2 linked regions of the Elephas maximus indicus genome follow. The protein of the gene in region 2 purifies or fractionates together with the protein of the main gene of each other region. This does not show direct contact. Links are inferred from orthologs where the notes say so. Each region holds a gene or a part of one and is shown on either strand. Other genes may lie near its edges.

Region 1 (16,420 bases), on a different chromosome or scaffold from region 2:
CCACTCCCTTCGCTTCTCAACCCACAATAAACGTAACTTGACATGATCAAGCTTTGGCTCCCAAACCACTTTGGGAAGAAGTAGTCAAGGGCTTTTGGGGTCAGTCTCTGCCCCCAAAGTAACCTCTAGAAAGCCCACAAACCCAACTCAAAGGATTTTCACATATTTAATTAGAGGTCTGAGCTTTGGGAGTTGGAAGGCACAGATGTGAAACCCAAAAGTAGTACTTATCACATTGCACTGTAATTCTATGTAGACCTTTTCTTTCGGTTCGAGATGACCCCATCACCCCACATCCTCAATATCCCTTTGAGATGAATGAGCTGAGAAATTTACCTCAGTGTGGAGTCTAAGACTACAATATTGTTTACTAGATACAGAAACAGGTAACTGATAATTGACCCCAAAGTTTTCCAGAACTATCTCTAGCTTCTTATATGAAAGTCAACCTACCTTTGAAACATATTTTTAAAGTAATTGTGAAGTTTCGCACTTTTGATCTACAAAGTATCTTTTAATCCTAAGGTTACAACGCTTACAACCTAGTATAAATATTTTAAGACACAAAAAAATTCAAAGTGAGAAGTCTAAGAGTCTTTATCAGTAACCCAGAAGTTGGAACTGTTCACAAAATCTTAAAGGTCAGATAACGTGTACCAAACCACTCTGGCTCCTAGCTTCCTGAACCCAATATGCAACCACTTAATTTATTTTAAATCTTCTTTAAAGGTTTTTCAGTTTTTTTTTTTTTAATTTTAACTGATATGTTTTGCGCAAGAATCACTATTTTTATTTGATTTAAAATTCCTTTTCTTACTAAAGAAGTCTCTCATTTCTGGATTTCAAGAATTAATACATCTATCAACAGTGTTCATAATTTTACAGATATCAGTCATATCTCCCTTTTCAACCCTTAGTTTACTAACTTGCATTCATCTGTCAGAATCCAGCTCAAAAATTCCTTCCCCAAAGAAGCCTTCCCTTATCAAAGAGCCTCCCTCTCAAGAGAGGTCCCCTTGCGATCTGTACTCAAAGTCCTGTACTTTTCCTTCCTAGCACTTACCTACATTTTGAATTACGTATCTGTGGTCAAATGACTGACATATTACAAATTCCAATGGGTCAAAATCTGTGCCTGATTCTGTTCACCATTGTGTATCATTGGTATAGAGACCCTAAGCAGTACTCAAACATTTGATGAATGAATAGATTTTTAAGAACTTTTCTTCTATTTCTCTCATTCATTTAAAACTTCCCAGCTGATATAACACTAGCCCCATTCCCAAATCTTCTCCAGTCTTATGGCTACAGAGTATCAGTCTAAATTCAATGAAATTCAGGACTCACCCTACTCTTCTCTCCAACAACAAAGCGAGCATCCCTAACTTCCCAGGCAACTTCCCCAGGAAGATGCATATCTTCCTGGGATGGCAGGCTTTTAATCTTGCAGTTATTACTAAATACTTTCCAAATCAGAATAAATGCAAGTATGCAAACACTTCCTATGTGGCGAGGCTCGGTATACCCTTCTCCTTCTGTATATATGTATTCCATCACTATAATCACCCAACTGGTCCTTCATAGAGGAATTCAGAGAATTTGCCCACCTTCCTTTCTTTTGCCATAGCCACAGAATTCAGGTCCTCTTGTATCTCCTAAATTGGCTAGTCTTTCTGCCCCAGACTCATCTCAGCCTCAAACCCAACCTAACTTTAGGCTACAAAGTTTTCTCACCTATCAGTAATGTGGTGTAAGGGGAATAAGCATGCATGTACTTCAGATTCTAAGAGATCTGAGTCTGAGTCATAGCTATGTTCAAGTTTTCTTAGAATTATTTTCCTTGCATAAAATAAAATACACAGATTACAAAACAATCAAGTTACATTGAGATAGAGGGGTCTATGGGTCCCAGGTTGACAACCCATGCTTGAGTCTAAGCTCTCTAAATCTTGTTTTGATGGCTCCAGAATGAAAGTAATAATACCTACACCTCATTGAATTCTTAGGTGGATTAAAGAAAGACAATATACATAAAATATCTGGCAGGGAGACTAAGAAGTCTGAAGACCTCCATGGTAATTCAAATCTTACTGGGGTATCACTTCTTAAATTAGGAGTGGGGGAGGAGAGGATTTTCATTATCTAATATTCAGCTAAAAAAAGTAAAGGATTAAGATCTTAAGCGGTGTCCCCAAACTTAAACAACATCACAATTCTTATCACTACTGAAAGATTAAGATTAACCCTAAATCAAAATTCAGATAGGGTCTCTCTTCCTATCCCAATTTTCGAGTGATGTGGAAAAAAGTTTAGTACCTTAAAAATAATTTAAGTTTATGACTTGGGGGTATTAGGTTGCATTGGTCAAGGATTCACATTAACTTAAAAAAAAAAAAATACCTGTTGCCATTGAGTCAGACTTATAGCGACCCTATAAGACAGAGATGAGCTGCCCCACAGTTTCCAAGGAGTGCCCGGTGGATTCGAACTGCCGACCTTTTAGTTAGCTGCCGTGGCACTTAACTACTATGCCACCAGGGTTTCCAAAGAATGACCAGTTCGTTTCCTCAAACCAGGGGCCTCTTGCGTGTTAGACGAAAGTGATAACCACTACACTGTGGAAACTTACACTAACTTATTTACGTTAACTTTAGCTTGGAAAAAAAAATTTTTTTTTTTTAATTTTTTATATAAATGATACCAACAGATCAGGAGCTTTCTTCAACATTCTTTCAGAAGTTTCCTGTCAAGACCCATATGTGTCTTTCATTTGTGCCTTAAGGTCTGAGGTTCTATATGTTAAGACATACAACCCTGTGTCTGAAAAGCCTCTTCTGCAGATATTTCTATAAAAAGACATACAGGTATGAATTCAATTTCAGGAGGACTAAATGACTTGACCAAGATCATACAACGTGATAGATGTAACAAGCTCCCATTTCAAATTGGGCTCTTTCCGCCACGCTCCCTCAGCCCACTAAGGAGATGATGCTGTTTATGCTTTCTGACTCCAAATGCCCAAAAGAGAACAATTAACTCTAATTTGCTGCCTAGAATTTCCAAATTTGCCACTCTTTTGGAAGGGCATTTTGTAAATGTATACCTCATTAGCCGATCAAATATCTTGAGCAGATGTTGGATATATCAAATTATTTCCAGCTAATTTTTTTCCCAACAGAAAATCTCCTTAGGATAAATATGAATTAATATTATATCTAGGCCCCAAAACTCCCACTTTTTGCATACACTAATCTCACATATGTACAGAATTATGAAAACCATCAGAAAGAAACAAGTAGAATGTTTCCGAGTTCAAAAGAAGGCACTTACAAAATGGCATGGATTTTGGTCAAGAAGTTTTGAGTTACCTATCTACTCTATGCTCAGCAGTAGATGCTGGATACCATTTAATACTCCACAAATAAAGAAATGAATCCCTTATGCTTCTATTTATGTCTTCATACACCTAAGTAAAATACTTGCCTAAAATCCCAGAGTCTGGCATTCAATTATAAATGGTAAACAGTTTTTAATACACTGTGCTAAGAGTTTCTTATTTTACACTGCCTGACTGGCAAGAGAATTCACCAATGTTCAAGTTCCAATTGTACACAATGATGAAAGGCTAGGCATTGGTTGATGCACCCAATTGTACAAAATGGCTCTATTTATTTGCTAAAGACATCCTTGAGGACAAAGATGTGGTAGAAGACTCAAAGAAATAAGGCAGGTTCAAAGGAAGGGAAAACACAGATATACAAGGGGGAAGGAAGGTATTCCCAGCATGCATTAATTATGTGAACAAAGCCAGTTAAGAAACAGCTTGCCCCACAGAGTCACGTAGAAACACTAAGATAAAAATAAGGTTAAAGAGGTCCATATGACCACACCTAACTAAGCTCTGTGTCCTTCCAGATGAAAAGAATGCCATTGCCCCATCAGTAAATTCTTTCTAAACTGCTTTTCCATGTAGAGGTAATAATTTTATGATTCCTTCCTTGCGTTGTTCAAATATTTGAGCATAAGCTGTAGGCCAAGCACCGTTCTAGGTGCTGGGGTACAGAGACCAGCAAAACAATGTCCTGGTGGTTCAGTGGTAGAATTCTTGCCCTCCATGCGGGAGACCAGGGTTCATTTCTGGCCAATGTACCTCAAGCGCAGTCACCACCCATCTATCAGTGGAGGCTTGCACGTTGCCGTGATGCTGAACAGGTTTCAGCAGAGCTTCCAGCTAAGACAGACTAGAAAGAAAGGCCTCGTGATCTACTTCCAAAAATCTGCCAATGGAAGTGCTATGGGTCACAACAGGTCAGGCCCTGCCACTGATCATGGGGATGGTGCAGGACTGGACAGTGTTTTGTTCCACAGGAGCCACCCTGACAGCAGCTAACAACTTCAAAAACAACCTCATTCTACCTGAATATTAAAGCCTAGTGTGTAAAAAAGTATGGAAGTATACTTTAAAGAAATTACTTAACTTACTTAAACCTAAATTTCTGGTATTAAAAAACGTAGGCTGCTATCTAGAATATCTGTGAGGATTAAATGATGTACTTGCCACATAAAAAGCACTTAATCATCGTTATCTAGTGTTACAACACCTTCACTTTAACCTCTTTGTAATTAACTACTAGACACATTGTCTTTTTATTATCTAAGGAAGTAACTTTGTTACAAAGTCTCTCTTTAGGTAAAACAGACTTAACAAGCTTTGGCCTCATTAATATCATCTTCAACTAACTGAGCAAGAGAAGGCAGTGCTGCTTCAGCAGTAGAATTCTTGCCTTCCATGAGGCAGATCCAGGTTCGATTCCTGGCCAATGCACCTCATGTACAGCCACCACCTGTCTGTCAGTGGACGCCTGCACATTGCTATGATGCTGAGCAGGTTTCAGTGGAGCGTCCAGACTAAAACAGCCTAGGACGAAAGGCCTGGCAGTCTACTTCCCAAAAACCAACCAATGAAAACCCAATGGATTACAAAGTCTGATTCCATTGTGCATGGGGCTGCCGTAAGTCGGGCCAACTCTGACTGCAGCTAACAATGACTAAGCAAGCTGGTACAAAGTTGAACTAGTATTAGAAGAACAGGAACATACTACCCAAATTTTATTTATTCATATTCAACTCAGCACCCAATCTTACCTCCCAAAAAAACTCAATGCCCAAAAACTCAGGTGTAAGCATGATTTCAGTTACTAGGGCTTCAAACAGGTTCTTTTTGGTTTGAACCCTTGCTGAGAATTTGCATTTCCACCCCACATACACTGAATCAGAATCTCCATTTTAACAAGATCCTCAGGTGATTCTCACATATAATAAATCTTGAGAACCATTGCTCTACTGGTGGTTCTCAGAGCTGGTCCCTAACCAGCAGCATTAACATAGCCTGGGAACTTGTTAGAAATGCAAATTCTCAGCAGGGGATTGAGCCAGAGCAAACCTGTTTGAAGTTCTGTTGTTACTTAGTTCTTGCATGCATCTCACCAAGCACAATTAGATTACAGTGCTTTAAATCTTATTTCCTTGTTAATACAACATGGGCCTTAAACTTAAGTCAGCTACTTCATCTCTTACTCAACTGAGGAATGCAGCAGTAAGTCATGATTAGATAAAAGAAATCAACAGACCTGCACCTTCCATGGGGGCTGAGTTGTGAAGTCTGCAGGTAAGGAAAAAATCAAATAGAGTCAAACGCTCTTGAATTGAAATCCCCATTATCTCCAAGTTAGGGAGTTGGGTGCAGCTGAAAAGACACACAACCAAACCTGGATTCAAATCCCCACCTCCACCACTCCGCAGCTAATTACACAACTCTGAACAAGACTCCTTTTTCTAAATTTATTTCCTCGTTCTGGAAATACCACCACCAACTCAAAGGTTGGGGGGGAGGGGAAGAACATGACAATTTAAAAGAATACATACAAGGGACCTCCTGCCTAACTCAACAGGTCCTCAATCATCGCCAGGGAAGGGAACCCCTAGTCTCTCTCTTCATCTGCCAAAGAACCAAAGACTGGAAAGTTCAAATCAAACCTTGTTTCCATTCAAATCAGATAAAAAGAAATGCACTAGAGAAAATTTCACTTGGCAGGTAAAATAAACCATGACAACTATGAGTGAAATCTAGTACACAAAGCCCATTTTTTGTAGAAAGGATACTAGCCTAAAGCAAATAGGTTGGTCATCCCTACACCATACCACATTCCCTCTATAAACATCAAAGCATGATTTGCTACAAGAACAAGTGGTAGGTAAAAAGGAGAAAAACCAAACCTCACAGTGTATTTCTGGAATCCTTTTATGGCACATTCCTTGGTCATGAAGAATAATGGTTAAGAGGGCGGCTTCTGGAGTCAAGCCTTACTGGGGGTTGGGCTACACTTATTCCTAAAAATGTGACCTTGGGCAAGATACTTAATCTCCCCAGTCTCAGTATTTTCATCTGTAAAATGGAGCCAATACTCTTGAAGAACTGCTATAAGGATTAAAAAAGGTCATGGCTGTGAAGTGCTCAGGATGATGGTTAAATGCTCAATTGTCACAACTCCATCTAAATATGAAGACAAGACACACTGTGTAGGCTCAACACCACACATCCCTATCTCCACAAGACCTTACTGACTAATACTGGTCTGGGTATGCACTGTCACCTAAAAGTGTTAAAACGAACAGTGTTTCAGAAATCAACACATATTCAAACTGCTAATACTAAAACTTGATTCCTTTATTTGAGCATAGTTTCCAAGAAAAAGCAAAGATGAGGACCAAGTGAAAATACTGAAAACAACACATCCATTACCCAGGGTGCAAACGTCTTCTGTTCTGACAAGCTGACTTCAAACTATCACCACTTAAGTCTCTTTGTTAGGGACTTTTATCTGGTTATTTTTGCACAAAGGAGTCTTTGTTGGTACAAATGGCTTCCTTACTGGTTGTTCCCAGGCAATCTTTTCATACCAATACTACTATTAGGGAGAACCTCCAGGATTCGTCCTTCTTTGAAAAACTGAAAAAGGTTCTGAGTGTCATTCCGATTAAAAATCACTTGCTGCACTTGTTCCCATTTCCTTCCCTCCCCGAAACACCCAAGTGCAATATTTCAAAGACATTCCTCCAACACACCATATATGGGGCAGCTCCACCCCACCTTTCCATATATGGTTATATCCCACACCCACCTACCGGCTCATCACGGGCAACCAGGAACCCACTGGAGCCCTGACCCACCGCAAACGGACACCCACCTTAATACGCCAAACAAAACTAAGCTCCTCCCTCTACACTTAACCCTTCACTTCTAACAAGTCTGAAGGTTTAAAAAGTTGATAAAATAAATTAAAAGGAACAAATAAAAAAACCTATGGAAAGCACTTTCAAGACATTAGCCCTCAATGTGATTGCAAACGTCATCCCCTGGCCCAACTTAATACTACCAACAGTGCTTCTGCTTCGGAAAAACAATCAGACAGCCCTAGCGAGGCATTGCGCGGGCAATAACAAAGCGTGTCTGAGCAGCCCCAAACCCATTATTTAACACAGCAGCAAGGAACTCTAGGCCAAACACATCTCGGCTTTACACAACCATTTCAAAGACTTTCAAGGTCTAGTATTCTGCACCCTCAGATCAATGCCAACTTTCTAGTCACCGTTTTCAAAAAAGGGTGTGTGTGGGGCAAGGAGGGCTGATTGTCGGTTACCAAGGTAACTACCAAACGTCCGACTGCCTAGGCCGGGGAGCCTGTTTACCTTCAGATCCTTCTTAGTAACGTCCATGTGGGAGACAGCTCGAATGGTCCCAGAAAGCCAGGGCCACTCGGCAACGCGCTCCACGTCCCAGCTGTCGTGGCTGCCGTCGCTGCCGTCGGCTGCAGACAGACTGAGGAATCGCTTCCCCACCAATACTGGCCAACTTTCTCCGAGCGTGAGCACCATGGTTTCCACGCCTGCAGGAAGGGCTCCTCCCTGCAAAAACAAAATGAGGTGGGGGCAGCCGGTGGGAGGGGGCCAGAAAGAGGGCGGGGTACGTGGGAGGAGGGGGTCCTAAGTCTGCTCTGGGGGGCAAGCACAGGCGGCAGCCGGGTGCGACCCCGCACCAAGCCCTCCGCCCGTGCCATCCCCCCCCCACCCCGGCTTCCTCCCCCACCGCAAACACGGCGGGGCACCGCGTGACCCGCGCTCTCTTAAGTTTCCCGTTTCTGAAACCTTCTACCTAAACGCAGAGGGAGTAAGGGGACAATTATTTGCGGCGTAAGTAAATTTTAGAGTGTTCGCCCCTCACCCAGGAAAAGAACAAGCACCCCCCCAGACCCCCAGTGTAGAGGGCCTGTCGCTGGCTCCCAGGTCCCTGCCCGGGGAGGTCCCCGCCCCGGGAGGCCCTGCGGAAAGGGGGGACCTAGTCGGCGGCTCGACACTTGCCCTGATGGCCCTCCCCGCCCCCCACCCCTGCCCCTCGCATCCCGGCTGCCGATCCCCTGACGCCGATGGCCCCGACTCTGCCGTGGCGCTGGGGCGGCGGGGCCAGCGATTCCGCCACCTTCACCTTTCTTCCTCCTCGCCCAGCTGAGGCCGCGGCACTCTTACCCCGCCTCCCGGCTCCCTGAGTCACTGGTGGCCGCCGCCGCAGCTTCCAGCCGCCAAGCGACTCTAGCTCTGACTTGGTTCAACAGCTCTCACAAGACACGCACAACCTCCCAGGCCCGCCCCCTCGGAGCCGCTTCCACCACTCATTGGCTGAGTCAAAGGAGTTGGGCGAGGTTCGTGGAGAGATAACCCATCACTATTGGTTGGCTACATGAGGGCGGGGCTAGAGAAAAAAACAATTCCCTGGCTGTCCCCGCCCTTTCCCCCTCCTCCCTCTTCCGACTCCTGAGCGACCCCCGTTAAATTAAAGTACACAGAGAGTAAGCGAGAGATCCCTCCGCCACGGGCTCATTCTTTACATTCGTTGCCTCACGATGTGCAAAAAGTCCCGTGAAATCGGTTATCAACTCTGGGTTCCGAAGGAAAAATGCCACGGCGCACAGATAAAACTGAATGGCGAAACCTAGGGCTGTATGTGCCTATTGGATTGCTCTTCAAGTGCGTAGGCTGTCGAAGGGAGATAGGCCTTCCACTTGGCGGAAGAATCTCATAGGAAAGGGGCGAGGGCGGTGCAGCGACAGAGGGGGAGGGAAAGAGGGGAACGTGCGGTTTCAGGCGTACTCAGCTAGAGGGAGGAGCGACAGTGCTCTGGGGGCTTGTGCGCAGGCGCTTCGCGTGTTGTAGGAGCAGAGCAGAAGCTGGAGCTACGGTTGCTGGGTGAAATGGCCGCGGGAGGCGCAGGCGCACGCACGTGGTGCTGATCATGGAAGTCTAAAGTCCGCCATTTTGGAAGAAAAATGAAGAAAGGCTTAGAGTCATTGGGTACTGATGTTCATTAAATCTTGAGGAAAAGAAGCCAGTCAATACAGTGTAGAATGGTTTTTTATTTTTATTTTTTATGTGGAGACAGGATGAGAAGATATTTTGAGACTTCAAAGGAATTGAAAAACCAGATGAGGGCAATAATGATGCAAGAGATATTAAAGGTGAAAAGGAGGTGACTTTGAAGGACGAAGGAGAAGAGGTCATTGTGTGCTCTGGGCTGGAAATTTCTTCCCTGAATAATGAAGAAGAAATGGAATGAAGGCATTGAAGACCTCTTTATACAGGTATTGAGCTGATAATTGACGTGGAATCACATTTAATCCTCAAGATAAGTAGGGAAGTGTTCATGTTCCAAGTTTTAGAAGTGTGGAAACAGAATCAGAAAAAGTTCAGAAACTTATTCCAGAGATTTATGGTTACAAGTTAACTACAGGTGTTGATTTGAAATATAAATGTTTTGAAAATATAACATTAAATAAGTTCCTAAAGTTAAGAATACACATTAGAAGAATTAAATTGAATTTATAATTTGCAAACCATTAGACAGGGAGAACATGGAACAGAGAAAATCTATCCAATCCAACACAGCAAAAGGCAGAAACCAAAGCAAGGAAAGAAAAAGAAGCTGGAAGGAAGTATGGTAAATAGAAAAAAGTAAAATGAGAGAAGTCCAAACATCAGTATTTACAATAAATATAAATGGGTTAATTTTCCTCATAAATTTAAAAGACATATTTCAGATTAAAAACAAAAGACACCTATAAATCAAGCACAAGCAACACTCCTACAACACCACAGGAAGCTTGAAAAAATTGGAATAAAAGTTTTACTAATCACATGTAACCCTGGTGGCATAGTGGTTAAGAGTTCAGCTGCTAACCAGAAGGTGGGCAGTTGGAGTCCACCAGGCACTCCCTGGAAACACTATGGGGCAGTTCTACACCGTCCTATAGGGTGGCCATGAGTCAGAATCAATTCACCGGCAATGGGTTTAATCAAATGGTAATCAAAGAAAAGTAATATAGTAATATTACTACAATTGAAAGAAAAAACTTTTAAAAAGATGGAAGGGTTTTATATTAATAAAAGTTGAAGTCCACAAAGATAATATAAACTCCTGTACTAGTATGATGGAACATAGCTTAACCTAAGACTAAACTGTCAGAACTATGAGAAAAAAATTTGACAAATTTGTAATCAGGGTGTAGAAGATTTAAATCCATCTGTCCAAGAAACAGGTACCACTTAGATTTAAAAAATAAGTGAGTATGGAGGACTTAGGTTACATAATTAATTATTAATTTGAAAAGCAACTGCTAAGGGACGAGTTCTACTACATGTCAAGGAACATACAATTCTTATGCTATTCATGGTTCCATAATTTAGAAGAGATGGATAGATACCCGATGCATTTTATAAAACTAGAAAAACTATTTTACCACATCTGAACCAGCAGAATACAAGAAAGGAAAGCTATAGTTTAATTATACTTATGAACATAGATGGAAAATCTTGTATAAAATGTATCAACAAATTAAATCCAGCAGTATATTTCAAAATAATCGTTATGATTAATTGGGGTTATCCTATAAATACAAGGATAGTTCAAGATTAGAAAGTTACTATAATTCACTACTTAACATTTTAAGAGAAAAATTATATGTTCATTTCAGTACAGGCTAAGAGAGCATGCACTCACATTCAGCACCTATTCATTATTTTAAAAGTACTTCTAAACTCCCTAGAAAACTAGAAATATTAAGAGCACATGCTTACATTCAAAACCCATTCATAGTTTTTAAAATATTTGTAAACTTCCTAGAAACCAAGGAACATATCTGTCCTAGAAAATGCTAGGAAAGAGTCTCTCCTGGGTGGTGCAAATAATTAATGCACTCAGCTGCTAAAAGGAAGGTTGGAGATTCAAGTCCACCCAGAGGTCGTTCAGAAGAGAGGTCTGGTGATCTACTTCTGAAAAATAAGCCATTAAAATCCTATGGAGCGCGGTTCTATTCTAACACACAGAGTGCTGTGAGTTGGAATCAGCTCTATGAAAACTTGTTTTTCCTCCTAAAAAACATTCACACATATGAACTAGGAGAATCTAGAAGGTTGTTCATTTCAGCATTGTTTGTGGTTGTGAAAATTTGGAACTCTAAGTACTTCAACTGGGGAACAAATAAATAAAGTGAATAAAAGGAATCTGATACCTGTAATGGAATGCTATAGAGCACTTAAAAAGGAATGAGAGATATATAGATGTACCAGTAAAGACAGATCACCAAACATATTTTGAATGAAAAAGAGAGTTGCATTTGGTACTGTAAGTAGTTCCTGACTTACAATGGGGTTCTGTTCCGACAATTTCATTGTTAAGTCAGTTCTGATGTAAGGTGAATGCCTCATTATTTTATTTTTTTAGTTTTCATTATTATTGCCTTTTATTATCAGTATCTTTATAAATCTAATCTTTATTTGTCTTTGGGGGTTGGCATGAGAATGATAACATAAGCAAATTACACACTACAACATTCTATGTAGTACATATTACTAACGATAAGATGTACAAAACTAATGGTTGTAAGTGCAATTCGTCATAACTCAAATACATCACAGGTTGAGGACTACCTGTATTTAAGCACACACACACACCCCAGTACCATATATTTTATATAGTAAGTATATGACATTTATTTATTTAATATATAAAAAAATTTTTTTTTTTTCTACTTACATATAACAGAGCCCTGGTTGCACAGTGGTTAAGAGCTTGGCTGCTAATCAAAATGTCAATGGTTTCAATCCACCAGCCACTCCTTGGAAACCCTATGAGGCAGTTCTGCCCTGTCCTATAGGGTCGCTTTGAGTTGGAATTGACTCAACAGTCACGGGTTTTTAATTATAAATAATACAAATTTACTTTATATATTATATATATATAAATAATGTATGTTTTAAAACTCATAATGGTGGTTAGTGGTATTAAGGAGTGTACACTAGAATTGGGGGTATTAGTCAAAAGTGATTTAGCTTTATTTGTAATTCTCTTATTTTTATAAGATGGATGAATTCTTGTGTTATTTTTGAAATTTAGAGTTAATTTTAAAATCCTATTAGTGTGCTCTAGTTCTATAACAGATCAAGGGCAGTGATGGTTCAGTGATAAAATTCTCACCTTCCATGTGGGAGACCCAGGTTTGATTCCTGGCCAGTACACCTCAAGCACAGCCACTACTCATCTGTCAGTGGAGGCTTGTGTGTTGCTGTGATGCTGAACAGGTTTCAGCAGAACTTCTAGTTATACAGTCTAGGAAGGAAGGACTGGAGATCTATCTATTTCTGAAAAGCAGCCAGTGAAAACCTTATGGATCACAATGGTCTCTTCCTGTTGTGCATGGGGTTGCCATGAGTGAGGACCCCATGAGCTGCCATAAGTTGCTGACTCGATGGCAGCCAACAGTAACACAAACAGATTAAGGAGAAAATACACATGATTATCTCAATAGAGTCAGAGAAAGCATTTTATAAATCTTCATTCCCATTCATTATAAAAACGCTTAGCAAACTATGAATAGAAGAAAACTTCCATAACTTGGGAAACAAGATGTACCGGAAATATACTTAAACATCATACTTAATTGTAAAATTTTAGAAGAATTTCCACAAATGTTAGGAATAAGATAAGGATGTCCACTATTATTATTATCACTATTATTCAAATTGTAATGAAGTTTGCTAATACAATAGAATATGAAAAATAATAAAATATAAACATTGGAAAGAAAACACACACACACACAATTTGTAGATAATTCAGGAACATTAACCAAAAAAATTGTTAGAACTAACACAATGGGCAAAAAGGTTCCACAATATAAGATCAACAAAACTCAAAAGAATTCCTATTCTTTAGCAAACATCAATTAGAATGTATAATAGAAAAAAAGGAAATCATTTATGATAATAAAAACTAGACTGCCTAATAATAAATACAAGAAATGACAAAAACCTGTATATTAAAAAAAGATAAACCTTTACTGACTTGCATAAAAGATTTGAAAAAATGCCATCTCCATATATAGAAGAACTTGATAAAGATGTTAACTCTTTTCAAGTTAAGCTGTAATTTCAATGAATGAAATATTGTCAGAAATATGGAAATAGTTAATACATAAACCCACACATATATGAAAAGTTACCGTATGATTAACACAGCATTTCCAGTGGCTATAATACATGCTTTCACTAACCATATTTCCTAGTTTCTGTAATATGATGTTTTAAAAAGTCACTAAACTGATAGACTCCTACAGATTAAAAAAAAAAAAAAACCCTGGGGAAGGGAAAACCTGATTCCCATAGTTACCAGATTTTAATAGTCAAGTGTCTCGTTTTCAACCAAAAATTCACAACACATGCAAAGAAATAGGAAAGAATAGGCTATTCAAAGGGCCAAAATAAAGTGTCAGAAACTATCTCTAATGAAGCACAGACACTGAACTTATTAGACAAAGACTTTAAAACAACTACCTGAAATATGTTCAAAGAGCTAAAGGCAAACATAGACAAAGAACTGAAGAAAATCAGGAAAATGATGTATAAGCCAACTGAGACTGTAAATAAAGAGATTGAAATTATAAAAAAAGAACTAAATAGAAATTCTAGAGCTGAAAAGGACAATAACTGAAATGAAAACTTTACTAGAAAGGTTCAACAGCAGATTTGAGTAGGCAGAAGAAAACAAAAATCAGTGAGTAGGAAGTTTTAAATTATCCAGTCTGAAAAGCAGAAAGAAAAAAAAAAAGTGAGCAGATCCTAAATGATATGGGGAATACCATCAAGCATAACAATGTAAGCATTATGTGAGTTACAGAAGGAGAGGTGAGAGATACAAGAAGTAGAAAAAATATTTGAAGAAATAATGGCGAAGACTACCCGCATTTGATGAAAGACATGAATCTGCATATCCAATAATTTGAATGAATTCCAAAAAGGATAAACTTAAAGAGATCCATGCTAAGACATATTAATATCAAATTGTTGAAGGCCAGAGATGAAGAGAATCTTGAAAGCATCAGGAGAGAAGCCAGTTGTCACAAAGAAGTGATCCTCAATAAGAGTAACAGTCAATTTCTCATCAAAAACCATGGAGGCCAGAAGGCAGTGGGATGATGTATTTAAAGTGCTGAAAGGGAAAAACTGTCAGCCAAGAATTCTGTATCTGGTAAAGTGATATTTAAAAATGAGGGAGAGATTAAGACATTTCCAGATAAACAAAAGCTGAAGGGGTTTGTTACCACTATATAGGCACCACAAGAAATCCTAAAGGGAGTCCTTTGGATTGAAGTGATGAACACTAGATGGTAAATTGAAGCCATATGAAGAAATGAAGATCTTCGGTAAAGGTAACTACATGGAAAAATATAAAACCAATATTATTGTATTTTTGGTTTGTAACTTCACTTCTTATGCCTTACATGATTTAAAAGACAGTACAAAAAATAATTATTAACCTATGTTGTTGGGGACAGAAGATATAAAGGTGTAATTTAGAACAACAACAGCGTAAAGGAGAAGATAGTTCTATTTAGGAGCAGAATATTTTATGTTATTTAAATGGCTATTGATTCAAACTAGAATGGTATAAATTTAGGGTGTTAAATGTAATCCCCATGGTAACTACAAAGAAAAAAAGATAAAATACATACACACAAAAGGAAACAAGAAGCAGGTCATGAAAAGATGCTCAACATCATCAGTCATTAAAAAAAAAACAGTGCCGTTGAGTCAGTTCCAACTCATATAAAAAAAAAAAAAAACTCATATAGGGCAATGCAAATAAAAAACCACTAAGATGCCTATGATTTAAAAAATGGAGACCAACAAGTGTTGGCGATGATGTGGAGAAAATGTAATTCTTATCCATTGCTGGTGAGACTGTAAAATGGTGAGATTGTAAAATGTAGAAAACAGTTTTACGGTTCCTCAAAAAGTTAAACATAGAATTACCATGTGATCCAGCAATTCCAACTCCTAGATATATACCCAGAAGAACTGGAAACAAATACAACTAGATACTTGTACACCAGTGTTCATTGCAGCACTACTTCCAACAGGGAAGAGATGGAAAGAATCTAAATGTCTGCTATGGATTGAATTGTGTCCCCCCAAAATGTGTCAACTTAGCTGGGCAACGATTCCCAATATTGTGCAATTGTCCACCATCTGATGTGATTTTCCTGTGTGTGTTGTAAATCCTACCCTTACGATGTTAATGAGGCGGGATTGGAGGCAGTTATGTTAATGAGGCAGGACACAGTCTACAAGATTAGGTTGTATCTTGAGTCAATCTCTTTGATATATAAAAGAGAGGAGCAAGCAGAGAGATGGGGACTTCATTACCACCAAACAAGAAGAGCCAGGAGCATGCATCCTTTGGACCTGGGGTCCCTGTGCTGAGAAACTCCTAGACCAGGGGAAGATTGATGACAAAGACCTTTCTCCAGAGCTGACAGAGAGAAAAAGTCTCCTGGAGCTGGCACCCTGAATTCAGATTTCTAGCCTCCTAGACTGTGAGAGAATAAATTTTTCTATGTTAAAGCCATCCACTTGTGGTATTTCTGTTATAGTAGCACTAGATAACTAAGTTAAGTGGATATTGATTCCATCAACAGATGAATGGATAATTAAAATGTGGTGCTTACATACAATGGAATATTGCTAAGCCATAAAGATAAATGAAGACCTGATGCATGTGGGATGAACCTTGAAAATGTTATGCTGAATGAAATAAGTCAGTCAAAAAAGGCAAATATTATGTGATCTCACTTATATGAAATATCTAGAATAGGCAAGTGTATAGAGATCAAAATTAGCATGGGTTGGCAGGACGGAAGGAAAAGGGGAGACTCATTGCTTAGGGGAGTTCCTGTTTAAAAAAAAATATTAAGGGTGATGAAAAATGGAAACAAATAGTGATGATGGTTTGTGATAATTAAGGCTGTGTGCCCAC
Region 2 (15,909 bases):
GGCACTCAATGAAAGACAATTACAATGATTTCTTGAGGTCTATCAGGTCGGGAGTGGATGGGTTGGAAGAGTCAAAAAGCCAACCACAAGGAAATGATACTTGTCCTGTTGAGATCTCTGGGAATCTCACCATTACTGAGTACCTGCCAGGTCCCCAACACAGGACTAGTTGCTTTAGGTATGCTAGAGGGCTATCCCATGCACTTCCTCATCAGTCTCTGAGGTAAGGATTATTATCAGGTCTGATTATTATAGGAATTCAGAGAATGCCCAGTGTGTACTGCAGCTATCGGAGAAAAGTTCAAAGAACAAACCGAATGATCAAATTGATCTACCTTATTTCCCGATTTTATCTTGTCATTCTCCTGCTCAAAGATCCTGGATGGCAAACCCATGACCTCCTACTGAATAATATTAGACTTCCCATCCAGGCATTTTCCAAAATACAGCCTGAGTCACACATTCTGAGCTTTGTGATCATTTTTTTCTCTGATCCATCCTCAAAAGACCCCCACTCAGTATGACCTAAATATGGTTCATGCTTCCCCCATCTGTGCCCTTCTTATGCCATTTTTCTAGAATGAGTAATTCCCTCAGGGCCCTGTAGGGTAAAGAATTTAACTTTACCCAAAGAATTTGGTGTTTATCCTTCCTGAGAGATAACCTCTAAAGCCATTGCCTTGGAGTCAATTCTGACTCATAGTGACCCTATAGCTTCCAGACCACACCTGAGGATTTATGCTAATGAGGTGACTCAGGTGGGGGCTGGCCAGGCCAGAAAGACCACTTCATAATATCAGCTGATTTCAGCCCCATTGAAGGCCCTGCAGTGGAAAGCTCCATGCGCTTTTTGGTTGGTGAAAGACATCTATGCACATGGGAGGGTTGTTGTTGTTAGGTGCCATCAAGTTGGTTCTGACTCATAGCAACCCTACTGGACAGAGTAGAACTGCCCCACAGCGGTTCCAAGGAGCAGCTGGTGGATTCAAACTGCCGATCTTTTTGTTAGCAGCCACGGCTCTTAACCACTACTCCACCAAGGCTCCCACGGGACAATACCTCATCCCCTTCTGAGACACGGAAGCTCCGCATTGGGAACCCTCCCAGACCTTGCCCTATGCATCTCTTCATTGTACCCTTTTCCCTATAATAGTTTCCTGTAATTATAGCACTTTCCATGAGTTCTATGAGTCATTCTAGTGAACTACTGAACCTAAGGGAGTAGTGGGAAACAACAACAGGTCAGGACTGAGGGGCCTGGGGACCCCTGAGTTTATGGCTGGTGTCCTGAGAAGATGGGGGAACCCCTGAATTTATAGCCAGCAGGTCAGAAGTGAGGGGACCCTGGAAACTCCCAAGCTTGCAGCTGGCATCTGAAGCCTTGGGCTGACTTGTCAGTCTGGAGGACTGTGTCCTTTACCTTGTGAGCTCTGACCTGGTTCCACGTGATTCGGGTCAGGAAGCGGTGCTGCATGTGTAGCTGGTGTCAGGGCAGAAGTGGAACATAAATAACAAATTCATTTGGATTAATCAAGAAAGTTTGGTGTCAGAGAAGTGGAATTTGATTTTTTTCACACAGGCCGGTACTGTAAAAGTCTACTTCACATAAGGGATTTGTTCCTTAGGATGTTTGTGGAATAGAACACAGGCACTGAGAGCCATAGTATCCAGCCCTATGTAGCACAGACTTGACACTACTGTTGCTTCTGGAGAGAACCAGATAGTTTAGTGGAGGCAGCCACTGTATCAATCCATGTTGTTGAGGTTCTTCCTCTATTTTACCATGAATGATGGCCTTCTCCAGAGACTGGTCTCTCCTGATAACATGTCCAAAGTATGTGAGACGAAGTCTTGCCATCTTCCCTCCTAAGGAGCATTCTGGCTGTACTTCTTCCAAGACAGGTTTGTTCATTCTTCTGGCAGTCCATGGTATATTCAATATTCAATATTCTTCGCCAACATCATAATTCGAAAGCATCAATTCTTCTTTGGTCTTCCTTATTCATTGTCCAGCTTTAACATGCACATGAGGTGACTGAAAATACCATAATACTCGCATGTGATATTAATATTGTCCGATAATTTCCACATTCCATTGGATCACTTTACTTTGGAATGGGCACATATATGGATCTCTTCCAGTCAATTGGATCCAGAGCGAGCAAAAGCCCATGAGCCTTGCCACTTATGTTTGATGTAGGCCACATGCCCTAAGAAACTCCCTTTCAACTGATTGGCTACGCACAGCAGATCCCATCATGGAGGTGATCACACTGTATCAATTCTCATCATGGAGGTGATCACATCATCATACTACTGCCAAATGACTGAGAATCATGGCCCAGCCAAGTTGACACACAACCTTAGCCATCATATACCTCAACACATTTCCAAACACCCCCTAGGGAGCAGTTCCATCCCGTTTGAGAACCACTGATAGAGATTATCATAATTTGTTTAAACAGCCTTTAATGATGAACATTTAGATTATTTCCAAACTCCCACTATTTCTAGCATTATAATTGTTGTTGTTATCAGGTGCCGTCAAATTGGTTCCGACTCTTAGTAACCCTAAATACAATAGAACGTAACTGTGCCTGGTCCTGTGCCATCCTCACAATCGTTGCTATTTTGAGCCTGTTGTTGCAGTCACTGATCAGACAATTTGTACCACTGCTATTCATAAGGTTTTCACTGGCTAAGTTTTTCAGAAGCAGACCACCAGGTCCTTCTGCCTAGTCTTAGTCTCGAAGCTCTGCTGAAACCTGTCCACTATGGGTGATCCTGCTGGTATATGAAATACTGGTGGCATAGCTTTCAGCATCAGAGCAACACATAGCCACCAGAGTATGACAAACGGACAGACGAATGGGGGATTTCTGGCATTGCCCCGATAAATATTTATATACAAATTGTCCTAAAAAAAGATCGTATAAACTTTTTACTGCCACCAGCAACATATGGCAATGTCTTTTTCTCACCTCCTTCACAATATAGGAGGAGTCCCTGAGTGGCGAGGACCGTTCATGTGCATGGCTGCTAACTGAAAGGTTAGAGGTTTTAATTCACCCAGAGGCACCTTGGAAGAAAGGCCTGGCAATCTACTTCCAAAAAATCAGCCACCGAAAACCCTATGGAGCATAGTTCTACTCTGACACAGAGAGGGTCGCCATGAGTGTGAATTGACTTGATTGCAAATGGTTTTCCCAATAAACCAAACCCTTTTCCGTCGAGTGGATTTCGACTCATAGCAACCCTATAGGGCAGAGTAGAACTGCCTCATAGAGCTTCCAAGGCTGTAATTTTTATGGAAGCAGACTGCCACATCCTTCTTCCCCAGAGTGGCTGGTGGGTTCCAACTACTGGAGAGAAGGAGAGAAGGAGTGTGCTCTCTCATTGGAGGGGAGCAACTAGAAGTATATAGCAAGGTGTATATAAATTTTTGTATGAGAGACTGACTTCATTTGTAAATTTTCACTTAAAGCACAAAAAAAATAACATCCTGTACTCAGAAAACAAGCCCTAGTGGCACAGTGGTTAAGTGCTTGGCCGCTAACCAAAAGGTCAGTTGCCATCAAGAGGCAGATCTAATGAACTCACTGCTTCATAATCCGGTATTGTCTTGGTAAAGAGGAAATGAAAAACAAAGTTCATTTTTATACACAGATTATGAGGCAGTGAGTTCATTAGAATCCCTATTCTGTAGACACAGAAATACAGGGTGGAGAGAAGGAGTGTGCTGCCTCATTGGGTGGGGGAGCAACTAGGAGTATATAGCAAGGTGTACAGGAGTTTTGTGTGAGAGACTGACTTCATTTGTAAACTTTCACTTAAAGCACAAAAAATATTAAAAAAAGGAATCCCAATTCTGTTTGAAAAATACATAAGCGTAGAAAAGAATAGAAGGATAAACAGTTGGATTCTACATTCATTCATTTAATTCACAAATATTCACAGGGTGTCTACTATGTGCCAGATGCCATCGGCCATAATCCATTTTTCCATCCCAATCTCTTTCCTTAACTGGACACTTACATCCAACTGCCTAATTGGCACTCCGACCTGGAGCAAGAATAATAATGTGAGAACTCCTAAGTGCACAAATCAACAAGATACCATACTCAAGTCTAAACCAATTATTCCTAAGCCCAGGAAAGCTACCATCTAAATTAGAGGCAGCGTGGTAGAGTGGGGGAGAACATAGGGTTTGATACTGGTAATTCTGAGTTAGAACATAGGATCTGCTTCTTTTTATCTGTTTAGTTTTACTCCTCATTTGTAAAAATAATTGAGTTAGTTTAGGTTAGTATTTTTGAATAGGGGAGGGGAGAGTCGCTAGATGTTTTACAAGGCCCCTGAGCCTGATCCCTTCCACACTGCCTCTCTAGAAGGGCTCCCCCTCTTAAGCACTGTCTCCTAAGAGCCTGGGGATGCTGGTTAACAGAGGGCTCTCTCTCCAGGGCCCTAGACCCTCAATGCTTTCTGCTCTGGAGCTGGACAGCCAAGTTTGCTGCTTGGACATGTGATAACGATACCAGACTGAGCAGAGAGGTAGTGAGGGACTTCACCGGACTCTGAGAGAAGGGGCAGTCCCTTTTGTTCCAACCCCAAGTTACCGGTCAGACCCAGTTCAGACAACTGCTTGGTAAGGACTATCACAACCAGTGCTTCCAGTTAGGAAGCTTTGGAGCTTCATCTTCTCCCCTACAAAAAGTTCCCCGAAAGAGAAAGGGAGGAGGGAAAGGCTCCTACCTGCAGCAGGGACAGTCCTTCTCCAGGTATGTCTGCCCAGGGCAGCCTGGCCTAGGTGGGCTTGGTGCCTGCTGCAGGCTGGAGCAGAAACACCAAGGTCAGACCCACCCCTGGAAAGCCATGTGGCTTGAGGGAGCTTGTCCACATCCTGCTTAAGCCCCCAGCCCCGGCCCACACACCAAAACAAACCAAAAAAAAAAAAAAAAAACCCACTACCATCAAGTCTATTCCGACTCAGAGCAACCCTATAGGATGGAGTGAACTGCACCATAGGGTTTCCAAGGAGCAGCTGGTGGATCTGAACTGCCAACCTTTTGGTTAGCAGCCAATCTCTTAACCACTGTGCCACCAGGGCTTTTCTGAACACCCACTAAAAAACCAAACCCATTGCCGTTGAGACCACTCCGACTCATAGGGACACTCTGAACACCCGGGGGATGGATTTATCCTATTTTGTAAAAGGTCACAGTAAGCCTTAGCTCACTCTAGCAGGAATTCCAGCCCCAAGAGCATTCATCGGGCTGCCACAACCTTGAATAATGGTCTGGAAACATGAAGAGACGTATCACAGAGTGAAAACAATAAAAACAGAAAACAAAGCCAAGGGTACAGAGCTTATTTTTTTGTGAGCTGATGGCAGAAGGAGAACTTTGAGTTCCTTTCTGATAAATTTTACTCATACTGGAAGGAAGCAATGCAAGGCATATATGATGTTTAGGCATAGAAAATACATCTTGCTATTATATTGTCTCCCTTAGCTTTTTGTGCAATCTTGCTTTACTGCAGGAAATCTTTTAAATTTCATGTAGTACAATTTGTGAGGCTGTTACTTAAAAATATGCTTGGACAGGACTTTCACTCTTAATTCTGATACAGACTTCTATTTTTTTCTTCTATTTATTTCATAGTATATCCTTAGGAAAATCAGGAGTATATAGGTCAGTGGCCCTCCACCTTTGGTGTGCTAATTTACAGAAAAGCAGATTTAGCAGGCCTAGGGTACAGCCTAGGATTCTGCAGTTTTTAGAGTAGAATTCAGAATTCTGCAGTTTTTATAATAGAAACACTGGTATGTTAATTTTAATGTTGAACATGGAGAAACAATTCCTCCCCCACTGTGTTCCTTTTGGAACTGCAAATTATATGTTCTAGGGAACAAACACACTTACCGAAGCTTACACAGTCAATCAAGGACAGAGATGATTCAAGAAATCAAGGTGCCTGACTGCGTCATAATTTGAAAAAAATATTAACACACCATCTGTGTTTCTAGAATGACCAGGATCAATAAAAGTCTTCGGTTTTACACGGATAGTTTAATGGGGAAATAATCTGATACATATATAATACTTCAATGTTTTACAAAGTACACTGGCATGTTTCCGGTTAATACGGGGTGGGGTGGAACTGGAATGTCCTAAGTTTTAGTCTCCTCTTTAACTTATACACATTGAACATGCCAGCAGAATTCATAAGGCATGCCTGTTAGAAGCCCCTGGGAGAGAGCTCACCCTAAGGCAAGTTAGGCAATTAAAACCAGTGGCATAGTGGTTAAGAGTTAAGGCTGCTAACCAAAAGGCTGGCCGTTTGAATCCACCAGATGCTCCTTGGAAATTGTACGGGGCAGTTTTACTCTGTCCTATAGGGTCACTATGAGTCAGAATTGACTCGACAGCAACGGGTTTGGTTTGGCTTTTTTTATTCTTGGAAATTACCTGGGAGGGAGGTTCAAATTTTGAGTACACTGCATGGTGTCTTGTACACAAATCTGTCTCCCAGCCCAGGTCCCGCTGGACTCATGTTTGAGTCCGATAGAGAAAAAGGAGGCTGTAAGAAGGGGGAAAAAAATGGACAAGATAATTTTGCTAAGACTTCTTTAAAAAGGACACTGATGTCTAAACAGCACTAGAATGGTAACCACCTGAGTAAGCGTAATATTAAAGCTGGAAGGGGCACATTCTCTGTGCCTCTGTAGGCTACACAGTTCTATCACAAGACACTCCAGTACAATCAGTGAGGCTTTGCACCTTGAGGGCTCCAGCACAGCAGCAGTGATGGGGCCCAGTGGAAGGAGCAAGACCCAGCAGAAGAGGCTGCTATGCCTTGCAGACACAGCAGTACTCAAAGGAAGAACAGGAAAGGAATAGAATGTGACACTCACCTGGAATCTCACAGGACTTGTCTGTGAGCACAGGTGAGGCTCCCCTCAGGCACCACCCCATGTATGAAGGGAATTTATAGCATCTGGGGGTCCGGAGTATGCAGGTGGGGAAAAGAGACAAACATAGCTCACATGATCTTTACCTCATGTGGTTCCACAGAAGCTCTGCAAGGCAGGTTTTATTCCTAATTCAACTGGGAAAAGACTGACCCTTATACAAATGTAATAGGTATGTGGTTTGTATTTTTACCTAAGAGAGTCAGAAGAAACATGGGATTTACTTTTCTTTTGTTATGTTTTCACAAGTATTTATTAAGTGCCATATTGTCTTCATAAGCTGACAGGTTTTTGAAAACTGCTTCACATTTTTTTCATTATATTAATTTTTTTTTGCAACACAAGTGTGTTCATCTTGAAAAAACAAACAAAATAAATAGTTTTAAAAATGAGAAATTCAGATAAAGCAAAAATTAAAACAAAAATCACCTATTATTTTATCAGCCACTGTTAAGCTTCTGATGCATATACTTTGTTTTCTTTGCATATTACTATATAAATATACATATATTTTTAAGTGGAATACTATATATACTTTTTGAAAGCTGTTTTTTCACTTCACAATACATAATATACATCTTCATGCTAACAGATGAAATTCATGACTGAGGGAGACTGGCAGATTATAGGGGAAGAAAACACTTTTATGCCAGTCACAAAAGGAAAATAAAGCCACACAAAAAGTTAAGAACACAGCAAAAGGTATATACGGAAATGCAAAGTTCAGGTGGCAGTACTACTACCAGGCAAAACAGAACTCAAGGCAGAACCCATTAAATAGGATAAGGGCGGTTCCGTTTTGCCTTCCAGTGCATTATCAGTAGTTTGTTTCTTACTCTTTTCATCTCTTCCATCTCCTCTGCTACCTTTATCATCTCCTCATTGCTTAAATTCTTGCCATGTATCTCCCCTCTAAACTGTGGGCGAGAACGAGCCAGCCTCTCCTTAAAACTTCCTTCCTCTAGTTTATGTTTTCCTACTCCACAAGGAGGCTGCTCCATGGGAGGACGCTCCTCAAAAAGGTACTTCCTGGAAAGTCGCTCCTGGGGGCGCTCCTCCGAAAGGAGCACCTCAGGAAGGAGCTCGGGAAGGAGTTCCTCGGGAAAGAACTCTTCCTCGTCCTCCTCCTCCTCCTCCTCCGAGGACTGCTCTTCTGAAGACAGATCCTCCTCCTCCTCCTCCTCCTCTTCCTCCCCGGGAGAGTGCTTTTCGGGAGGGTGCTCCACCGGAGGCGGTTCTTCAGTGGTCTTTGGCGCGCTATGTGGCTCTTCTTCATTTTCTTTGCATGGCTTTTCCATGTTGAGAATGCTAATTCTTTAAACAGTTATTCTGAGAAGACAAGAAAGGGAAAGTAGAGTCGGAATATTTGGTGGATGGGCCAACAACCCTGCAATGGGTTCCAGTAGCTGCCTTTTCGGGATTCGGGGCCCAGGCCCCAAACCTACGCTTACCGAGAGCCTCCCGGGCTCTCCTGAGCCCGCCGCGTCTCTTCCCTTCCCTCAGGGTCGCCCCTTCCTTCCTTCCTTCCCGAAATCCCACCATTTTCCCAGCAGGCTTTGCCACAGGCCGCGGCCAGCCGCAGTGATAGGGGCGGGGCGGCGGGGCCGGCAGACGGCGTTTGGTTCAGCGCCATCTCTGGTACTCCCCGCCCAGTCCGCTGCCCACCCTTTTCCCACCTGGACCTCTCCTGGCGGCTTGCTCCTCGTCGTCTTCTCTTTGAGGCGCCCCGCTGTGACCTGCGGACCAAGACGCGAGACGGGGTAAGGGCGGGGGCGGGGAGGCGGGACGACCTAGCAGACACGCCCCTCTTCTGGGCCGACTCCGCCCCCCACGCCAGCGTCCCCCCCTTCTGGGACTCCTCCCCTCACACAATCCCCGGATCAAGCCGTGGCCTCGGTGCCGCTGCTCTCCCCGCCGCTCGACGCTCTCACTCTTTATCCCCCACCCCAGGCGGAAAGTGGGAGCAGAGAAATACTTAGGAACTATTTCCAAGTGTGTCTCCTTCACGGGGCCTTACTCACTTCCCCGTTCTGCCGCGAGACCATTTTCTGCACCGAAATGTGGGCGCGAGGGGGCGGGACTGAGGCTTAGGGAAAAGGCCGGGAATCTCTACCATCCGGATCCTAGGGGTTACTAGGCAGCACCGACACTCACGCTGATTTAAGGGGGTCGAGGGAACTTACTTCCTTCTGCTTTCCCCCGGGACCAAAAGGCAATCCGGAGATTGGTGTCCGGATAGGCATAAAGGACCAGGACAAGAGGGACTTGGGCCGACATAGGTTCCCGGTCACGCGAGGACCGCACGTCACCGCCGAGCTCAGATCCCCAGTTTCCACTTTGACTGGCGCCCATGCTGCAGCAGCCAGCCAATAACCCCTGGTCCGCAACACACCAAGCGTTGTTACTCACCCCTCTCTTTATGTTTGCGTTTTCCTGGTTACCAGAGACAATCAGCATCTAGTCCTAGGGGTTGTTGTCTCTTCCTGTCTGCTACTTTCTCTGATAATACCTCTCTTCCCCACCTTCCCTTTCTCAGCCGCCAAGGCCCAATTATTTCCCCTGCAGTCTAGATGCTGCACCTTCATTAATCATCATATCCCATTTCTCAGTTTTCATCCACATCCGTAACCACATCTTATCTGTGTTGCCAGGTGAAAAACCCAGGCTCTGCTTAGTGTGATTTGTTACAGCCAATAAAACAAGAGGCCGAGGTGGGAGAGGAGAAAGACACCTTTATTTCATTGGACAAAGAAAGGAGCAATCAGGGCTGCTGCTTCCAAGACTGTTCACAGGCAGCTTGGGGAAGTGGGCTTTTATAGAGAGCAGACAAGGAAATGCAAATTCATCATGAATATCCAGGATCCACCTTCACACAGGCGCTCAGAGTTTGAAGATGACTATGCATGTTCTTTAGACAAGGGTTTGATCCCCTGGAATGGAAGGAGAGGTTGATTTTCCTTCATTAGGATGTTAAGTCTCCACCCAGAAGTGGGTCGAGGCCATCTATGGCCCTTCCTGTAGTTACCTTGTCAAGGACAATTTCAGAAGAAAGTATATTCTGCTTGGTGTAGGGGAATAAGCCAGAGCAGAGAAGGGCTGGTCTCTGAGGCTGCCTGCCTCATCCATGTAGGCGCTATCAAAATGTTTTCACATCTTCTTGCCACTTTCATGGGAACAATCTTTCACATTTCCTTGACATCTATATTTTGGTTTTTTGAGCCCCCAGACCTATATCACAAATAGAAGCTCCAGTTTATTTTAGATAAAGAAGCAAATTAAATTTTTTATGTTTAAAAATATACTCTGATAAAAAAAGACCCTAGAAAGAATTAAGTTTGTAAAGTATGTAAGTCTATAAAGACTGAATAATTTTCATAAGTCAAGATGTACTTTTGTCCATCTAAGTACTAGTCCAGAAAACCCATTTATTAATCTGAAATGGGAGAAGTCTTCGTGGATAGCATAGCATTATTATAAAAAAAAAACTTATGAAGTAGTTTTATTGTTCATAACTGAAGGCAAATTTTGCTGGGACTCTCAATTCTTAACCAGCCAACTCTTGGTACTGCTGGTTGAGAAAGATTATATTAATTAATTAAATCAGCAAATATCTGTTGGGTTCAGCAGTCCTAGGACCCCAAAATATAAATGCAGCCCAGAAGACATTCAGTATTAAACTGTATAATGAATCTGTTGACCACACACTGAGTACCAGCTGCTGTCGAGTTGATTCCCACTCATGGTGGCCCTGTGTGTGTCAGAGTGGAGCTGTATTCCATAGGGTTTTCAGTGGTTGATATTTTAAAAGTAGATCTCCAGCCCTTTCTTCTGAGCCACCTTTGGGTGAACTCAAACTACCAACCTTTGGATTAGTAGCCAAGCATGTAAACCGTTTGCACCACCCAGGGATGCTACACACTGAGTGTTGTTGTTGTTTGGTGCTGTCGAGTCGATTCACGAAACACTGCCCAGTCCCGCACCATCCTTACAATCATTGTTATGCTTGAGCCCATTGTTGCAGCCACTGTGTGAGTCCACCTCGTTGAGGGTCTTCCTTTTTTCCGCTGACCCTGTACTGTGCCAAGCATGATGTCCTTCTCCAGGGACTCATCCCTCCTGACAACATGTCCAAAGTATGTAAGACGCAGTCTCGCCATCCTTACCTCTAAGGAGCATTCTGGCCACATTTCTTCCAAGACGGATTTGTTCGTTCTTTTGGCAGTCCATGGTATATTCAATATTCTTCGCCAACACCACAGTTCAAAGGCGTCAACTCTTCTTCTGTCTTCCTTATTCATTGTCCAGTTTCACATGCATATGATGTGATTGAAAATACCATGGCTTGGGTCAGGAGCACCTTAGTCTTCAGGGTGACATCTTTGCTCTTCAACACTTTGAAGAGGTCCTTTGCAGCAGATTTGCCCAGTGCAATGTGTCTTTTGATTTCTTGACTGCTGCTTCCATGGGTGTTGATTGTGGATCCAAGTAAAATGAAATCCTTGACAACTTCAATCTTTTCTCCGTTGATCATGATGTTGCTCATTGGTCCAGTTGTGAGGATTTTCGTTTTCTTTATGTTGAGGTGTAATCCATACTGAAGGCTGTGGTCTTTGATCTTCATTAGTAAGTGCTTCAAGTCCTTTTCACTTTCAGCAAGCAAGGTTGTGTCATCTCCATAAGGCAGGTTGTTAATGAGTCTTCTTCCAATCCTGATGCCCAGTTTTTCATATAGTCCAGCTTCTTGTATTTTTTGTTCAGCATATAGATTAAATAGGTATGGTGAAAGAATACAACCCTGACGTGTACCTTTCCTGACTTGAAACCAATCAGTATCCCCTTGTTCTGTCCAAACAACTGCCTCTTGATCTAACATACTGAGTAGCAGGATTAATATCATGCTAACATACGCAACTGCCATTGCAAGTATATACTTTTTAATCTAATAGTGTTTTATGATCTTTGATCTCATGTCTGCATCTCATCTAGTACTTACAACAGCCTGGGTACTACTTTCTCATGCAGATGTCTTTTCCTCCAGAGAGCAAACTACCTCTCTTCCCCTCTCTGTGAGGATCCTGGGGTGGTTTTATATTTTTCAAACCCAGATTGTCCAGGAAGTTTCCAAACAAATTCTTATGTGAAATTTCCCATTATAATAACGTTTGTTGCATTTCTTTGACATCTTACTTTGTATTGCGATGGCAGCTAGACCGATATTAGTACACCTTTATATCTTTTCCATAACTTTCTTAAATTTTACAGCGATGTGTGCCTTTAAATCCAAGTTTCACTATGCCTTCTTTATTCTTTCAGCAAGGGTTGGAGTCTCACTTTTATGGTTTCTTCCCAAGAGGAGTCCCATTTTATTCACTTATTCATTTCCATCCTTTTTTTTCCTTACATCCTATGATGGAAAACTACCTACCTTATAAAACATCCCATTGAAATTTCAGGCAATTCTAATCAAAGTTATTGTTTATTTTTCCCCTTCCGTTGAGCTGAAATCTGCCTCAAAGTAGATTATATACATTGGTCCCAGTCTGCCCTCTAGAATGGTAAAGAACAAGTTTAAAATGACAAAAGTACCTTTTATCCTTGATAATATGAAACTGCCAGGGTTTATGTCCTGGTTCTGACCCTTTCCATCTGTGAGACATATTAGGAAATCTATTTTTTGTGACTCAGTTTTCTCATCTACAAAATCGAAGACAATAATAGTACCTGCCTCATAGGATTGGTCCGAGGAGTAAATGAGACAATACGACATATAGTAAAGGACCTGGAACAGTGCCCAGCACGTAGAAAACACTCTATTAGCATTAACTATAATAATAACAATATGACACAGAACTAATAGTACTACTAATCATCACTCTTTTATTACTCACATTAATTGAGCACTTATGCCAGGCATTTTGCTAAGCACTTTCAGTATACTATCTCATATAATCCTTAAACAGTTATATTCTCACCAAGACTTATTTTTTTGAGGTTTAACCTTCCCAGTTATTTTAGCTGTTTCTGACTTGGTAACATTTTTTCCAGGTTACTCACCACCTTGCATGTTCCTGAATTTATAAATGGCTTTGAGAATACAATATTTTGCCTAGTGTAGAGCACTATTAGCCCTTTCAGTCTAGAATAGACACTGTAGATTTATTGCTGCATCCTAAGAGTATAGTAGATTTTGTGGATGCCATATCACACAGTTGAATCCGGTTTAAATTGCAGAACTATGGGTTACTCTATCCCTTTTCCGTCTGTGTCACTATTTTCAGCAGAAGTGGTTGGGAAATACAGGGAAGTAACACATGTAAGAAGGTATACTATAGGGTTTCGTAGTCATGTGTGTTTATTAGAAATTGATTCTGTGTTGGAAGTAACTTTGGATTTGAACCAAGGGTGGCTTTTCTGGGCTTTCAGTGCCCATTCCTTGCCCATTGCACAGTCGTAGAAGTAACATGCTGACCCTTCTTTGAGTCTTGCTGAACTGCCACACATCATACGGGCCAGTGGAGTTCTGTGCTCACGAGGCATTGGAAATGCTATGCGCAAATGGGCCAACAGAAACAGCAGACACACATTGTGTGTTATCTCCTCTTGCCAATGTCTTGATTACTGCAGCATTGTAGGAAGGCTCAGGAGTCCCTGGGTGGCACAAACAGTTAAGCGCTCAGCTACTAACTGAAAAGCTAGCACCTTGAGTCCTCCCAGAGATGCCTTGGAAGAAAGACCTGGTGATCTACTTCCAAAAATTCAGCCATCGAAAACTCTGTGGAGCACAGTTCTATTCTAATACATAGGGGGTTGCCATGAGTCGGAATCAACTAGATGGCAACTGGTTTGGTATGAGGTCCCTGGGTGGTGAAAATGGTTTGCTCTCGGCTACTAACCAAAAGGTTGGCAGTTCAAACCCATCTGGCAGCACTGCTGAAGAAAGGCCTGGCGGTCTGCTTCCGTAAAGATTATAACCAAGAAAACCCTATGCAGCAGCAGTTCTACTCTGTGACATATATGGGGTTGCAGTGTTTGTTGTTGTTTTTGGTTATAGGAAGTCTCAAAGTCAGGTATCGTCAGTCCTCCAGTGTTCTTTCTCAAGATTGTTCTTTATGAATTTTAGAGTTTAGCCTGTCAATTTCCACCAAAAGTCTTCCTGGGATCTTAATTGAAATTACATTGAATACATAGATCAATCTGGGAGAGAGTTGACAATATGACTCTTCTGATAAATGAACATAGTATACTTCCCATTTATTTAGGTCTTTTTTCCTTCATTACTCTTTGCAATGTATTGTAGTTTTCAGTGCACAATTATTCAGATACTTCATAAAGTTTATCCCTGAGTATTTCATGCTTTTTGATATCATTGCTAATAGTATTTTGAACATTCATTTTCTAGTTGTTTATTTCTAGTGTATTAAATATAATTCACTTTTGTATATTGAACTACTGTCCTGAGACCATACTAAATTCACATATTAGTTCTAATAACTTTGTAGATTCTTAGAGCATACAGGCTCATGATTTTCCTGCAAATAAAGAGTTACACTTCGTCCTTTCCCATCTGTGTAACTTTTATTTTATTTTTTTGCCTTACTGCACTAACTAGGATTTCCAGTACATTGTTGAGTAGCAGTGGTGAGAGCATCCATCCTTGTGTTGTTTCTGATGATAGGAGGAAAGCTTTAGTCTCTCACTATTAAGTATATCAGCTATAGTTTTATCATAGATGCTTTTTTTTCAGGTTGAGTAATCTCCTTTCTATTCCTAGTTTGCTGAGAGTTTTTTTTTTTATCATAAGTGGGTGTTGACTTTTGTCCAATGCCTTTTCTGCATCTATTGAGATGGTCATATTTTTCTTCCTTTATTCTGTTAATATGTTGAATTATATTCATTTTTGAATGTTTGATCAACTTTGCATTCCTGGGATAAGCCTCACTTGGTCATAGTGTATTTATTATACTTATTACATATTGCTGGATTTAATTTCCTAATTTTGTTGAGAATTTTTGCATCTGTGTTCATGAGTTCAGTTGGTGTGGAGTTTTCTTGTAATGTTTTTTGTTTTGTTATCAACGTAATTCTGACCTCATTATATATAGAGGAGGCCTCTTCCTCTACTTTCTGAAAAAGTTTGTGTAAAATTGGTATTATTTCATCTGTATATTATTATTATTTATATTTTTAAGATAATATTTTATTGTGTTTTTGGTGAAAGTCTACACAGCAGTTTAGATTCTCATTCAACAATTTCTACGCAAGTTGCTCAGTGACATTGTTTACGTTCTTCACAATGCGTGAACATTCTCATTATTTCTGTTCTGGTTGTTCCATTTCCATTAATCTAGTTTCCCTGCTCCTTTACATTATCGTTTTTGTTTTAAAGTAATTGTTGACCATTTGGTCTCATATAGGTGATTTTGTAAAGGATCACAGTACTTACAGGTGATACTCATTTCTTTTTTAGCCAGTTTTGGTTCAAGATTTGAATGGTATTTCAGGGCAATAGCCTCGGTCTCGGGAAGTCCAATTTCAACCATTTCAGTAGGTTTGTTTTTTTTTTTAAGGAATTTGAGATTCTGTTCCACATTTTTATCCCATCCTAGCAGGGTCCATCTATTGTGCCCCTGATTAGAACTGTTGGTAGTGGGAGCAGTGCACAATCTAATTATGGTCTCAGGGTAAATGATGCTCTGGTTTGTGTAGACTGTTTGTCCTATAGGCTAGTTTCTTCTTTGAGTCTTTGGTTTCCTTCTTTCTCTTTTTGCTCCAGATTAGTAGAGAGCAATAGTTGTATCTTAGATGATCGTCCTTATATTATTTCATCCTTAAATGTGTGATAGAATTCACGAGGGAACACATCTTGGCCTGGAGTTTCTTGGAAAGTTTTTAATCGCAAATTAATTTTCTTTAATATACGTGTGCTGGAACCAGCTTAT

Evidence for each region.
Region 1: the proteins of TCEAL1 (region 2) and KDM3A purify together in Homo sapiens (affinity purification with mass spectrometry; 3 studies listed by BioGRID and IntAct, counting the BioPlex papers as one, with this or other methods). This does not show direct contact. The link is inferred for Elephas maximus indicus from reciprocal best matches to the Homo sapiens genes TCEAL1 and KDM3A.

Annotation. Positions count from the first base shown.
Region 1 is NC_064835.1:48,084,062-48,100,481, forward strand, and holds the start of KDM3A (lysine-specific demethylase 3A), read right to left. Parts: upstream 8,686-16,420; 5' UTR 8,584-8,685; exon of another isoform or gene 7,966-8,583; 5' UTR 7,936-7,965; coding exon 7,750-7,935; intron 1-7,749. UniProt on the Homo sapiens protein: Histone demethylase that specifically demethylates 'Lys-9' of histone H3, thereby playing a central role in histone code.
Region 2 is NC_064846.1:54,545,254-54,561,162, forward strand, and holds TCEAL1 (transcription elongation factor A protein-like 1), read right to left. Parts: upstream 8,269-15,909; coding exon 7,744-8,268; 3' UTR 6,032-7,743; downstream 1-6,031.